Linked DNA regions of Anolis sagrei. The protein of the gene in region 1 interacts with the protein of each later gene in a biochemical or structural test. Links are inferred from orthologs where the notes say so. Each region holds a gene or a part of one and is shown on either strand. Other genes may lie near its edges.

Region 1 (7,341 bases):
ATGAATTTTCTTGCAATTATTATTATTTATTTTTCCTGCAACATTAATAATAATAGCAGGAAAATTAATCATAATAATAATTATTATTGCAGGAAAAATAAATAATAATAATCGCAGATTTTTCCTGCAATTATTATTATTATGAATTTTCCTGCAATTATTATTATTATTTATTTTTCCTGCAATAATAATAATAATAATAATATTTTCCCTGCAATTATGATTATTATTAATTTTCCTGCAATTATTATTATTTATTTTTCCTGCAATAATAATAATTGCAGGAAAATTAATTATTATTATTATTATTATTATTATTGCAGGAAAAATAAATAATAATAATTGCAGGAACATTAATAATAATAATAATTATTATTGCAGGAAAAATAAATAATAATTGCAGGAAAATTAATATTAATAATAATTGCAGGAAAAATAAATATTATTATTATTAATAATAATAATAATAAATAATGTAGGATAAATGAAATATTCACAGAATATTCAACAGCACATACACTAAAATTGGAATGATACAGATTAGCAGAATTAACAATTAATTGAAAATCCAATTGGATATATAAATAATTTATCAATTACTTTTCCACCATCAACATTTAATAATATTAATATTCCTAGAATGCAATATATTCCTATTTTTCTGCAAATATTTAATATTAATAATATTTATATCAACATTTATCCTAACAGGTGGCCCAGAAAAACCATCAAGAGATTGTGGCCATTTACCGAACTCACCTGCTCAATGCGGCCCAGGTAAGACTCATATTATTATTATTATTATTATTATTAGTTCCCATATTTCTCATTATTTCTCTTGTCTTTTGGAGGCAAGTGGGAATGTTTCAATTGGCATTGAATGGCCTTGCATCTTCAAAACATTTATTATTATTATTATTATTATTATTATTATATAATTATTATTATGCTATTATTATTTCCAATATTTTCTATTATTTCTCTAGGTTCTCCAACAATATTTAATGCTATTATTATTATTATTATTATTTCCAATATTTTCTATTATTTCTCTAAGTTCTGCAACTATATTTAATAATAATAATAATAATAATCCTCATCATCATCATCATTAAATACTGAACCTAGAAAATCCTAGAGAAATAATGGAAAATATTGGAATAATAATAATAATAATAATATAAATATCACATTTATTATTATTAAATATTATTTATTTTATATAATTATTGTGCTATTATTATTATTATATAATATTATTTATTTTATATAATTATTATTATGCTATTATTATTAATTTCCAATATTTTCTAGTATTTTTCTAGATTCTCCAACAATAATTAATTTAATGCTATTATTATTATTATTATTATTATTATTTCCAATATTTTCTATTATTTCTCTAGGTTTAACAGTATTTAATTTAATGCCATTATTATTATTATTATTATTTCCAATATTTTCTATTATTTCTCTAGTTATTATTATTATTTCCAATATTTTCTATTATTTCTCTAGTTATTATTATTATAACCAATATTTTCTATTATTTCTCTAGTTATTATTATTATTTCTAATATTTTCTATTATTTTATGTGATTATTATTATTATTATTATTTCCAATATTTTCTCTAGGTTCTCCAACAATATTTAATAATAATGATAATAATGATACTATTAATGTTATTATTATTATTATTATTATTTGCAATAATAATCATATCATTATTATATATTATTATATTATTTTTGTGATATGAGAGCCAGCTTATGGACCTCATTTGCTGTGTCAGTATAATAAATAATAATAATAATAATAATAATAATAATGAAAATATGTCTCCAATTTAGGGCTTCATGGACAAAGAGGTGCACGAGATGCTGCTGCGGATCCTGAGGACAAATGACGACTGATGGGCAGAAAAATAAATAAAATGAGATTAAAATAAAAGTCAGTGGTCATCCTTTGTGATATTATACATTTTTCTCAGGGGAAGGGCTGCGAGTTATGGTTCTGAAAGTGTTCTACCATACAAGTCCCGTATCCACAGGGAAAGATTTCCGAATGTACTTTGGGAACAGCACACTACAGCAAACTCGGGTGGTGATGGCATGATCGTCAGCATAGATGAAGCTCTCTATCCCTTCTGCCAGTGGCTGGTCATTCATGTCAATGTTAAACTTGAGGAACCGTATTAAGAGGCATTAGGAAGGTTGGGAAACACTGACTTAAAGCTTTGGAGAGCTTCTGTTCAACCATTACAAAGCTCTCTGCTTCGGTGGTGATGGCACGATCATCAGCATATGTTAAACTATCCCTTTTGGCAGTCGCTGGCCATTTGTGTAGATGTTAAACACAAGGACGTGTATTAAGAGGCATTGGGGAGGTTGGGAAACACTGACCTAAAGCTTCGGAGAGTTTCTGTTCAACCATTACAAAGCTCCTTGCTTGGGCAGTGATGGCATGATCATCAGCGTATATTAAACTCTCTGTCCCTTCTGGCAGTGGCTGGACATTTGTGTCAATGTAAACATGAATGCTGCAAGCTGGTTTTCCCTGTAATAGGCAGTAAGAGAACCTAAAGCTTTGGAGAGCTTCTGTTCAACCATTACAAAGCTGCCTGCTTGAGTGGTGATGGCATGATCATCAGCGTATATTAAACTTGCTGTCCATTCTAGCAGCGGCTGGTCATTTGTGTCAATGTTAAACATGCACGGAGTAAGCACACTCCCCTGATTCAGGTCGTTTTTCTATCTTCGCCATCTGCTTCTCTGGCCCTGAAACTCAACAGAAAAGCTCCTGTTTTGTAGCAGATTTCCTATGAAGTCCTTTTTGATTTTATACATTTTTCTCTGCATTTTATATGTATTAGAAATCAGTCGATTTTCCCTGTAATAGACGGTTAGAGCACTTCAAGCTTCAGAGAGCTTCTGTTCAACCATTACAAAGCTCCCTGCTTGAGTGGTGATGGCCTGATCGTCAGCGTATATTAAAGTCTTTTTCCCTTCTGGCAGTGGCTGGTCATTTGTGTCAATGTTAAACATGAGGAATTGTATTAAGAGGCATTAGGAAGGTTGGGAAACATTGAGCTAAAGCTTTGGAGAGCTTCTGTTCAACCATTTCAAAGCTCTCTGCTTGGGCGGTGATGGCACTGTCATCAGCATATATTATTATTATTATTATTATTATTTCCAATATTTTCTATTATTTTATGCTATTATTATTATTTACCAATATTTTCTATTATTTCTCTAGTTTCTCCAACATTTTATTATTATTATTATTATTATTATTATTATTATGCTATTATCATCAATATTTTTATATTATTTCTCTAGTTATTATTATTATTTCCAATATTTTCTATTTATTATTTATTATTATTATTTCCAATATTTTCTATTATTTATTATTATTATTTCCAATATTTTCTATTATTTATTATTATGCTATTATTATTTCCAATATTTTCTATTATTTCTCTAGTTATTATTATTATCATCAATATTTTCTATTATTTCTCTAGTTATTATTATTATTTCCAATATTTTCTATTATTTATTATTATGCTATTATTATTAGCAATATTTTCTATTATTTCTCTAGTTTCTCCAACATTTAATAATAATTATAATTATTATGCTATTATTATCATCAATATTTTCTATTATTTCTCTAATTATTATCATCATCAATATTTTCTATTATTTATTTATTTATTATTATTATTTCCAATATTTTCTATTATTTCTCTAATTATTATTATCATCATCAATATTTTCTATTATTTATTATTATTATTATTTCCAATATTTTCTATTATTTATTTTTATTTTTATTCTTTCCAATATTTTCTATTATTTATTATTATTATTCTTTCAAGTATTTTCTATTATTTCTCTAGTTATTATTATTATTTCAAATATTTCTATTATTTCTCTAATTATTATTATTATTTCCAATAATTTCTATTATTTATTAATATTATTATTTCCAATATTTTCTATTATTTATTATTATTATCGTTCTTTCCAATATTTTCTATTATTTCTCCAGTTTCCCCAACATTTAGTAATAACTATTCCATCCTATTCTGCGTCTGCTGCGAGGGTTAGCTCTTTAGCGACGCTCCCTGGAGCTTCCCAAGCCGTTCTTTACCGAGGCTGCCTTCGGCCCCGCCCCTTTGTGGGCGTGGTTTCTGGAGGCCCCGCCCCCTCCTGCGTGGCTTTGGCTTCGGCTTCTTCTGCGCCTGCGCCTCAGCTTGGGAGTTTGCCTCCGCTCCCTAGCGAGGATGCCTCAAGATGGCGGAGGCGGCCGAGCTGAAGGTAGGCGGAAATCGGGGAGCGGGCTCCGAAAAAGGGAAAAAGCCGGCCTCGGGGGACCACGGGGGTGTCCCCAAAGGAAGCGGGGTGCCCGAAATATAGGGGGGCCCGGGAAGCCCGGCTCGGGGTGAAAAAGTACCGCCAAGGAGGCTTCGTGAGGGGAAGTAGGCCGCACAAGATGGCGGCGATTCGGGCTTGGGAGAGGGCGGAAGTGACGTCACGCAGGAGGAGGATCTCAAGGCAGAATGGTCAGGCTGATGTCAATAATATATAATAATAATGCCGTAAAATAAATATAATTATATTAATACAAGAATAACAGTATTTAATGTAGTATAGTTATAATAATTTTAATTAAAATAATATTAAATAGTAATGTAATATAATATTTATTAAATAATATTAAATAATAAAGTAATATAATAAGATTGATTAAAATGATATTAAATAGTAATGTAATAAATATAACATACTATAGTAATATAACTTAAAATATTAAATAATAAGGTAATATAATAATATTGATTAAAATGATATTAAATAGTAATGTAATATAATAAATATAATAAAATATAGTAATATAACTTAAAATATTAAATAATAATATAATATAATTAATATAATATAATATAGTAATATAACCCCTGCCCATCCTGGCTTCTGAAGGAGGCCAGAGGGGGATTGGCCGAGTGGGTGAAGGTGGTGGTTAATGCCTCCCTTCGGGAAGGCAGAATTCCAGCCAGCTTAAAGCAAGCTGTGATAAAACCGCTGTTGAAGAAACCATCATTGGACCCCACTCAATTTGACAACTTCCGGCCAGTTTCCAATCTCCCCTTTTTGGGCAAAGTCCTGGAACGTGTGGTGGCCTCACAACTCCAGGTATTCTTGAGAGACACGGATTATCTGGATCCGGCACAGTCTGGTTTCAGACCGGGACATGGTACCGAGACGGCCTTGGTCGCCTTAGTGGATGATCTGCGCCGGGAGCTCGACAGGGGGAGTGTGTCCCTGTTGGTGCTGCTGGACCTCTCAGCGGCCTTCGATACTGTTGACCACGTTATCCTTCTGGGACGCCTCGCGGGAATGGGTCTTGGAGGGACTGTTTTACGGTGGCTCCGGTCCTTCCTGGAGGGTCGCACCCAGAAGGTGTTATTGGGGGACACCTGTTCTACCTCACAACCTTTGTCTTGTGGGGTTCCACAGGGTTCAATACTATCCCCCATGCTGTTTAATATCTACATGAAGCTGTTGGGAGAGATCATCTGGAGGTTCGGGGTACAGTGCCATCTGTACGCGGATGATGCCCAACTCTGTCACTCCTTCCCACCTGCTACTAAGGAGGCTGTCCAGGTCCTGAACCGGTGTTTGGCCGCTGTGATGGTCTGGATGAGGGCGAACAAATTGAAATTAAATCCAGACAAGACAGAGGCACTCCTGGTCAGTCGCAAGGCCAAACAGGGCATAGGGTTACAGCCTGTGCTGGATGGGGTCACACTCCCCCTGAAGACACAGGTTCGCAGCTTGGGTGTGACCCTGGACTCATCGCTGAGCCTGGAACCCCAAGTTTCAGCGGTGACCAGGGGAGCATTCGCACAGCTTAGGCTCATGCGCCAGCTGCACCCGTACCTTGGGAAATCTGACTTGGCCACGGTAGTCCACGCTCTGGTTACATCCCGCTTAGATTACTGCAACGCTCTCTATGTGGGGTTGCCCTTGAAGACGGCCCAGAAGCTTCAATTGGTCCAACGCGCGGCAGCCATGTTACTAACAGGAGCGGGATGCAGGGAGCACACAACGCCCTTGTTGTACCAGCTCCAGTGGCTGCCGATTTGCTACTGGGCTCAATTCAAGGTGCTGGCATTGGCCTTTAAAGCCCTAAATGGTTCTGGCCCAAGATACCTATCTGACCGCATCTCGGCCTACGAGCCCACCAGGACTTTGAGATCGTCCGGGGAGGCCCTGCTCTCGATCCCGCCTGCCTCACAGGCACGCCTGGCGGAGACGAGAGACAGGGCCTTCTCGGTGGTGGCTCCTCGGCTGTGGAACGCCCTTCCCGTGGACATCAGACTGGCTCCTTCCCTAAAATAATAATACTGTAAATAATTGTAATTATATTAATATAATAACAGTATTTAATACAGTATAATTATAATAGTACTAAGGCAGAATGATGAGGTTGATGTAAATAATATTATAATAATAATATAACAATAATAATGTAATAATATAATAATATAGTAATATTATTAAAAATAATAATATTATATTATATAATAATATAATAATAAGGTAACAATAATAATGTAATAATAATATAGTAATGTTATTAAAATAATAATATAATTAAAATAATGATACAATAATAATATAACAGTAATAATATAATAATATAGTAATATTAAAAATAATAATATAATATAATTATATTACATAATAATATAATATTATAATAAAAATATATAACAATATAATTAAAATAATGATATAATAATATAACAATGATAATGTAACAATATAGTAATATTATTAAAATAATAATGTAATATTATTATAAAATATATAATAATATTATTAAAAATAATAATATAATAATATAATATAATGCCTCTAGACCATGGCCATATAGCCTGAAAAACCTACAACAACCCAATAATAATAATAATAATAATAATAATGCTGTAAAATAAATGTAATCATATTAATAGAAGAATAACAGTATTTAATATAGTATAATTATAATAATAAATAATACTAAATAGTAATGTAATATAATAATATTGATTAATATGATATTAAATAGTAATGTAATATAATAAATATAATATATAGTAATATAACTTAAAATATTAAATAATTTAGTAAATATAATATAATATAGTAATATAAAACATTAAATAAAATAATAAATATAATATAGTGATATAACTTAAAATATTAAATACTAATGTAATATAATAATATTGATTAAAATGATATTAAATAGTAATGTAATATAATAAATATAATATAATATAGTA
Region 2 (8,185 bases), on another chromosome or scaffold:
ATTGCCCTGGACTGTAGCAAAGAGAGAAAGAAAGAAAGAAAGAGATGCTTCCTTTCAGTGTTTTTTTTTTTTAAAGAACTTTTTACAAACAGCCTGATTCAGCAACAGCGCAAAAAGTAAACAGCAGGCACTGAGTGCCATTCCTTCTGCAACATTCCCCCTCTCCGCTCCTCTTGGCCTTCCCACTCATGCCACCCACCTGCTGTCAAAGGGACAACTTGGATTTTTAACACAAGTCAAAGCGAAGGAGAAGAAGGCTGGTGCGGTGGGAGAGCCAAACCTACAGCTGCTGAGTCTCCTTTTTCTTCTTCTTGTTTTTTTTGTTTCTGCCACGCACGCTTCTCACACCTCAAAACAAATGGGCACCGCCTCCTCCTCAGCTTTGGCACGCTGCACAGCATCTGTGTCAACCCACACATATTACATACACCTCTCTTGCAGAAGGGTGAGGGGGGTGGGGAAGTATACCAAAGTCCTGAGAAGTCAGGGAAAACTCTTACCACCTCCAAAACATATAAGGGAACAAGTTTCCACCTTAGTTAGATGGGACCTGAGAGAAGGCCCTGGCATTTTATGTTCCCCAAGAAGGCCGGGGGGGGGGGGTGTCTACACTGTAGAACTGATGCAGTTTTGACACCACTTGATCTGTCATGGCTCAATGCTCTGGAACAATAGGAGGTGTGATCTAGTGAGAAACCAGCATCCCTTAGCAGAGAAAGCTAAAGTTCTTGTAAAAGTACAACTCCAGGACTCCACAGCAATGAGCCATGACAATTCAAGTGGTGTCAAACTGCATTCATTCTGGAGCAGGCATTGGACAACTTGGGTCCTACGGGTGTTTTGGACTTCAATTTCCACAATTCCTAACAGCAGGCAAGGGAAGGGAAGGAGGGAGAGAGAGAAGGAAGGAAGGAAGGAAAGAAAGAAAGAATTTGAGAAAGAAGGGAAAGGAAAGTTTGAAGGAAGGAGGGAAGGGAAGAGTGGTGGAGGGAAGGGATGAGGGGAAGAATGAAGGGAAGGTGAGAGGAAAGGAAAGGAGGGAATGATAGGAAGGAGAGAATGAAGGGAAATAAATGAAAGGAAAGGAAGGAGAGAGGGAAGGGAATGAATGAAGGGGAGGAGAGAGGGAAGGAAAGGAAGGAGAGAGGGCAGGGGAGGAAGGAAGTGAGGGAGGGAAGGGAAGAGTGGAGGGGAGGGGAGGGGAGAGGGAAGGAAGGACAGAATAAAGGTAAGGAAAAGGAGGAAAGGAAGGAGAGAGGGAAGGGAAAGAAGGAAGGAAAGGAGAGAATGAAGGGAAGGGAAGGAAGGGATAAAAGGAGAATGAAGGAGAGAGGAGAAGAAAAGAGGGAAGGGGAAAATGAAGAGAAGATTATAGGAAGGGGAGGGAGGGGAGGCGGAAAAGGATGAAAGGAAGGAGAGGGGGAAGGAGAGGAAGGAGAGAATGAAGGGAAAGGAAGAAAAGAAAAGAAAAGAAAAGGAAGAAGAGACGGAACAGGAGGAAGGAAGGAAGGAAGGAAGGAAGGAAGGGAAGGAAAGAGGGGGTAAGGAAGGGAAGAAAGGAATTGAGAGGGAATGCAAAAGAAAGGAGAGGTGGAAGGAAGAAGAGAAGGGGAGAGGGAAGGGAGGGAAGGGAAGTGGAGAAGGAAGGATGAAGGGGAGAATGAGGGGAAGGAGAGAGGGAAGGGCAGGAAAGAGGAAATGAAGAAAGAAAAGGAAAGGAAGGAGAGAGGGAATGGAAAGAAGAAAGGGAAGGAAGGGAAGGAGGGAAAGAAAGAAAGTGAGAAGGAATGCAAAGGAATTGAGAGATGGAAGTAAGGAAGGAATGGAAGAAGAGAATGAAGGAAAGGGAAGTAAAGAGAGAGGAAAGGAGGGAAGGAAGGGACGAAAGGGAAAATGAAGGGAAGGAGAAAGGGAAGGAAAGAAAGAAACTGAGAAAGAAAGAAAGAAAGAAAGAAGAGAAAGAAGTGAAAGAGAAGTAAGGAAAGAGGAAAGGAAAGGAGGGAAGGAAGGGACGAAGGGGAGAATGAAGGGAAGGAGTAAGGGAAGAGAAGGAAAGCGAGAATGATGGGAAAGGAAGGGATGGGAGGAAAGAAGGAAGGAAGGGAAGGATGAAGAGGAGAAGGAATTGAAGGAGAGAGGGAAGGACAGGAAGGAGAAAATGAAGGGGGGAATGAAAGGAAAGAAAGGAGAGGGAGAATGGAAAGAAGACAGGGAAGGAAGAGAAGGAGGGAAGCAAAGAAAGAAAGAAACTGAGAAGGAATGCAAAGGAATGGAGAGATGGAAGTGAGGAAGGAAGGGAAGGGACAAAGGGGAGACTGAAGGGAAGAGGAAAGGGAAAAGAAAGAAGAGAATGAAAAGGAAGGGAAGTAATAAGAGAGGAAAGGAAAAGAGGGAAGGAATGGACAAAGGGGGAAATGAAGAGAAGGAGAAAGGAAAAGAAAGCAAGAATGGAGGAAAAGGAAGGGAAGGGAGGAGAGAGGGAAGGAAAGGAGGGAAGGGATGAATGAAGGGAAGGAGAAAGGGAAGAAAAGAGAAAGAAAGAGAAAGAAAGAAAGGAAAGAAGGAAGGAAGGCAAAGGGAAGTAAGGAGAGAGGAAAGGTAAGGAGGGAAAGAAGGGACAAAGGGGAGAATGAAGGGAAGGAGTAAGGGAAGAGAAGGAAAGTGAGAATGATGGGAAAGGAAGGGAAGGGAGGAAAGAGGGAAGGAAGGGAAGGATGAAGGGGAGAAGGAATTGAAGGAGAGAGGGAAGGACAGGAAGGAGAAAATGAAGAGGAGAGGAAAGGAGGGAAGGAAGGGAAGAAGGGGAGAATGAAGGGAAGGAGAAAGGGGTGGAAAGGAAAGTGAGAATGAAGGGGAAGGGAGGAGAGAGGGAAGGGAAGGGAAGGAGGGAGGGAGGGAAGGAAGCTCTCCTTCGCTTGACCTGGCATCAGGAAAGCAAAGGGAGGAGGCTCGCTCCAGTGGCATGGGGTCAGGCAGCAGGAGGAGTGCAGCAAGGGGAGGCCGGGCTGAGAGGTCAGAGCAGGAGATGAGAAGGGCAAGGAAGGCAGAGAGCGAGAGAGAGAGTGTGCGAAGGGGGAGAGGAGGCCCAGCAGAGGGTTTCCCTGGGGAGGCCTGGCTCACCTGCGCGGGAGGGGCTGGCTCTTGAGCTCATAGTAGGTCTTGGGCTCCTCGTGGAAGTCCTCGCCCACCTCGAAGTCCGCCACGATCCCCGACTCCGCCTGCATGGCGCCCCCGCTCCGCTCCGTCTCCCCGGGCAGAATATGCAAACGGGGGAAAGGACGGGAGGAGACGGGGGCCAAAAGCCTGCGCCACCCCAACCTTCCTTCCTCCTCCGACTTTGCCCGCTGGCTGCCAGCAGCTCTTCGGCGCGCTCCCTCGCCCGGCCGCCCCTCGAGCGGGGACACGCGCCACACACACCTCCCTCGCGGGGCTCCCTGGGAAGCGTAGTCCTGGCGAGGGCGCGCGCTATGGCGCCTCCCCGGCCGCGGGACTACAGCTCCCGTGGTGCCGCGCGGCCGTGATGCCCAGCAGAAGGAGGCGGGAGAGGGAGAGAAAGGCACCCGCGTGCGTCCTGTCAATGTCAGCAGAAGCCAAGGGTATATCTCGAGATCTCTATCTCTCTATCTCCAATAAGTAAAGAAAGGGCAGCATTTATTGACTTATTGGGTTTGCAGTCAGCTTTTCTCCCGCCTAAATGGTACTCAAGATAAATAAATAGAGGCAGCCAAAACATCAATTTGCAAAAGTTTAATGTCAATATTATTATATATTTATTATATTGACATTTAACATAAAAATGCAGCACACATGCACCTTAGGTCCAAGTGTCTGGAGCTAATATTATAATATTATAATGTAATACAATAAAATACTAATAATAATACAATATAATAATTTTATATTTTATATTCCTGAGAACTTTAAGCTGTGTTTGGAAGCAGTGATGAGTTGGCTTCGAGCACCCTAAAAGTCAATCCTGCAAAAACTGAGATACTCTCTGGCCCAGCCAACCACCAGAATTAACCCAGTCTTTGCCTGATTTCGATGGGGAAGCTCTGGTTCCGTCCGCCACTGTTAAAAGCCCTGGGGTTGTGTTGGACTCATAGTTGACGATGGAGGCCCAGATCACTGCCATAAGTAAGCAGGCCTTTTTTCATCTTCGACAGGCAAGGAAATTGGCATCCTACCTTTCGGTAGAAGCATTGGCAACAGTAATCCACGCAACAGTCACCACGAGGCAATGCCTTATTTGCTGGCCTTCCGAAGTCAATGACCCAGAAAATTCGGATGGTCAAAAATGCGGCAGCCAGGCTGCTAGCAGGATCATCTATAAGATCCCATATTACACGGATTCTGCAACAACTGCATTGGCTACCAATAGAACATCGGATCTCTTACAAGATACTGATCTTGACATTTAGAGCTCAAAATGGCCAAGGACCTTTATATCTTAGGGACCGCCTCATTCCTTTTCCCCATCAGTGATCACCTCGATCCACCCAGGAAAATCTCCTCTACATGCCGGGTCCTAGGGAGGCACATTTGGAAGCTACAAGGCGTAGAGCTTTTTCGATCTATGCTCCAATTCTGTGGAACTCATTGCCTCCATATATTAGAGGAATGTAGGAGTTGCAACCTTTTGTAAAAGCGCTCAAGACTTGGCTGTTTGGTTGTGCATTTAAGTAATCAGATCAAATTTTGCCATAGTCACTGCTGAATGTTTTTATGATGAATGTTTTTATGTTGAATGTTTCTATGTTGAATGTTTTTATGTTGAATGTTTTTATATTGAATGTTTTATATTGTGTATAAGCTATTTTAAATTGTAAGTCGCTCGGAGCACTTTGGTGGAGAGCGACTAATTAAGAAATAAAGTGATGGTGATGATGATGATATTGCATGTAATATTACTAATAATATTACAGTATAGTGGTATAGTACAATATAGTAATATATAATACTAATATTGTGCTATAATAATAATAACACTTTATTTGTACCCCGCTACCATCTCCCCAAGGGACTCGGTGCGGCTTACATGAGGCCGAGCCCAAACACAACAATATAAGCAATAATAACAACAATACAAGCAATTAAAAAAACATAGACAGTAAAATACGCAACATTATCCATAAGACAACACACAATTAAAAACAGTGGGAAGGCCAAATGTAGAGTTAAAATTGGAAATAATGCTGGGACATGGACAAAAAGTGACACCGGTGTTTGTGGAAGGGCATATGAGCAGACCTAAAGAAATGTAAAGTGCTTTGAAGGATAAAGTGCTATGCTAATAATATAATATATTGTATGTATAAATAAATAAATAATGTGCATTAATAATAATAATAATAATAATAATAATAATAAAACTTTATTTATACCCCGCAACCATCTCCCAAGGGACTCGGTGCGGTTTACATGAGGCCAAGCCCACAATACATCAATACAAGCAATAACAACCATAATACAAAGCAAAATACAAATACTAATACAAAGCAATTAAAATAAATCTCATACACAAATAGTATAAACATTGAACAATAACACAAAACACATTTAAAATCTATGGCTGGGCCAAATGTAATTAAAGTTAAAAAATAATGCTAGGCATGAACAAGATAGAGGAGGTGGGGCGTTAGTGGAAACATACAAGCAGTCCTAAAACAGGATAAAGTGCTTTTAGAGGACATAATGCTAAGGGTTCATTATTCTGGGAAGGCACACTGGAACAACCACGTTTTCAAGCTCCTCCTAAAGACTGCCAGAGTTGGGGCATGCCTGATGTCCTTAGGAAGTGAGTTCCAGAGTCGAGGGACCACCACCGAGAAGGCCCTTTCCCTCGTCCCCACCAATCGCACTTGTGATGCAGGTGGGAGCACGAGTAGGGCCTCTCCAGATGATCGAAGAGATCGTGTGGGTTCATACACAGAAATGCGGTCACGCAGGTAGGCAGGTCCCAAACTGTTCAGAGCTTTGTAGGTAAGAACCTGCACCTTGAATTGGGTCCGGAAAATATTTATTGCACATTATATTTATTATGATTAGATTTATTTGTATATAACATACATATTAGGTCCAAGAATCCCAGACACTTGGACCTAATTATTAGATTTTTAAAATTATTATTAGTCAATTGACACAAAAACACAATATGTCACAGCAAACGAGATCTATATGTTGGATTTCGTATGACAAAATCACAAGTCGAACACTTCCTAAGCATCTAGGCCTGTGTGATGTATTTTCGAATGACGCACACAGATCCAGGTAAGGTGGCCTTTTGTAGTTGACAGATCATGATTTTGTCAATGCTTTATTGTTTCCAAATGCCAGCTGAGATCTTTTGGCACGGCACTCAGTGTGCTGATGACCACTGGGACCACCTGTACTGGTTTATGCCAGAGCCTTTGCAGATTATTATTATTATTATTATTATTAGATTTATTTATTTATTTACCACTGGGTTTTTTCCTCTTAAAAAGGTTCAAAGTGATGAACAGTGATAATATTGTTATTTTGATTATTAAAGTTATTATTAGATTTATATACCACTGTTTCTTCCTCTTAAATAACAATAATATTACTTTATTTATAACCTGCCCTTTCTCCCCTGGAGGACTCAGGGTGGTTTTTTCAAATAGTCTGGGCCCAAAGAGACTCAAAGCAATGAACGGTGCTCAAAACAATACAATATACCTAGAGACAATAAACATTCAAATAGACTTAAATCTAGTGATATCCTAGGTTTATTATTTTTAGATTTATTATTAGATTTATATCCCACTGTTTTTCCTCTTAAACAGACCATAAACATTAAAATAGAATTAAACCTAGTGATATCTAAAAACAAACCATTAAAAGTATTAAAATCTATAATGTTAATATTATTATATTTGTTATTATTATGTTTCTTATTATATTAATCAATATATTTATATACAACTGTTTTTTCCTCTTAAAGAGACTCAAAGCGGTAAACGATGCTCAAAACCATACAATATACCTAAAGACTATAAACATTAAAATAGAATTAAACATAGTAATGTCTAAAAATAAACCATTAAATTATTTAAATCAATTTAAAATACATAAAATACCACAAAACACTTGGTCTTAAAACATTCATTGCTGCAAATGGTTCCACAGAATGGGGCTCCCACCATAAAAGACTTTGCTATTAGAAAAACGTAGGTGAAATCTTTTCAAATATAAATGATGTGGAAGTATACAAAAATAAGGACACTTGTCCATCTTACTGCCATTTTTTTTCATTTCATAAAATAATACTTTACAATGTGGGGACAGAAACTGTTGGGATACTGATTTGTTAATGCAAAAACAAGTAGAAGTAAATAATTTGTTGAATAGAAGGAGAAAGAAAACATGTTACATTATAGAATAACCGACAAAAAGGAAGCAGGAAATTCTCTTTTAAAACTAGTTTATGTACGTATGTTTCCATTTTAGTCTTATATGTAATTAGAGCAGGGATGTATGTTTGTAGGAGAAAGTGTGTATCAGTCATGTAGTTGTTGTTTAACAATGTTTATGAGTATGTATATATGTATCAATGTTTGCTTTATTTCTATTACAAAAAGAAAAATAATATCTTACTTCACAGTTTGTTATTGGATATATTTTAATTAAAGATATATCAGGTGCATCAGAGTTTTTTTAAGTGTTTAGGGCCTCCAAACGTCTTGATCAGACCCTATTTCAAAAATCGTTTCTTTCAAAAACCAATGAGATTCAAGCTCTTCAAAGGATAGCACTTTGTGACTTCCTTGGGGGCAAGGAGACTTGAAATTTCATATCCAAGATATTATGCTTTGCACATTGTCAGAGGTAGGAGCCCCCAGTGGCACAGTGGGTTAAACCCCTGTGCCGGCAGGACTGAAGACTGACAGGTCGCAGGTTCGAATCTGGGGAGAGCATGGATGAGCTTCCTCTATAGCTCCAGCTCCTCATGTGGGGACATAAGAGAAGCCTCCCACAAGGATGATAAAACACCAAAACATCTGGGCGTACCCTGGGCAATGTCCTTGCAGACGGCCAATTCTCTCACACCAGAAGCGACTTGCAGTTTCTCAAGTCACTCCTCACACGACAAAAAAAAAAACATCAGAGGTGCTGTCATTGACTTCCTCAAAATCCAAATGTCTTTACCGACTGCCAAGGTCAC

What was found. The genes of interacting proteins can lie anywhere in the genome.
Region 2: the proteins of PIAS3 (region 1) and MITF form a complex in vitro, tested with the Homo sapiens proteins (2 studies listed by BioGRID). The link is inferred for Anolis sagrei from reciprocal best matches to the Homo sapiens genes PIAS3 and MITF.

Annotation. Positions count from the first base shown.
Region 1 is NC_090032.1:21,886,010-21,893,350, forward strand, and holds the start of PIAS3 (E3 SUMO-protein ligase PIAS3), read left to right. Parts: upstream 1-4,219; 5' UTR 4,220-4,303; coding exon 4,304-4,327; intron 4,328-7,341. Other genes in the region: ANKRD35 (ankyrin repeat domain-containing protein 35), read left to right, coding at 712-777, 1,853-1,915. UniProt on the Homo sapiens protein: Functions as an E3-type small ubiquitin-like modifier (SUMO) ligase, stabilizing the interaction between UBE2I and the substrate, and as a SUMO-tethering factor.
Region 2 is NC_090022.1:38,276,340-38,284,524, reverse strand, and holds the start of MITF (microphthalmia-associated transcription factor), read right to left. Parts: upstream 3,418-8,185; 5' UTR 3,225-3,417; coding exon 3,121-3,224; intron 1-3,120. UniProt on the Homo sapiens protein: Transcription factor that acts as a master regulator of melanocyte survival and differentiation as well as melanosome biogenesis.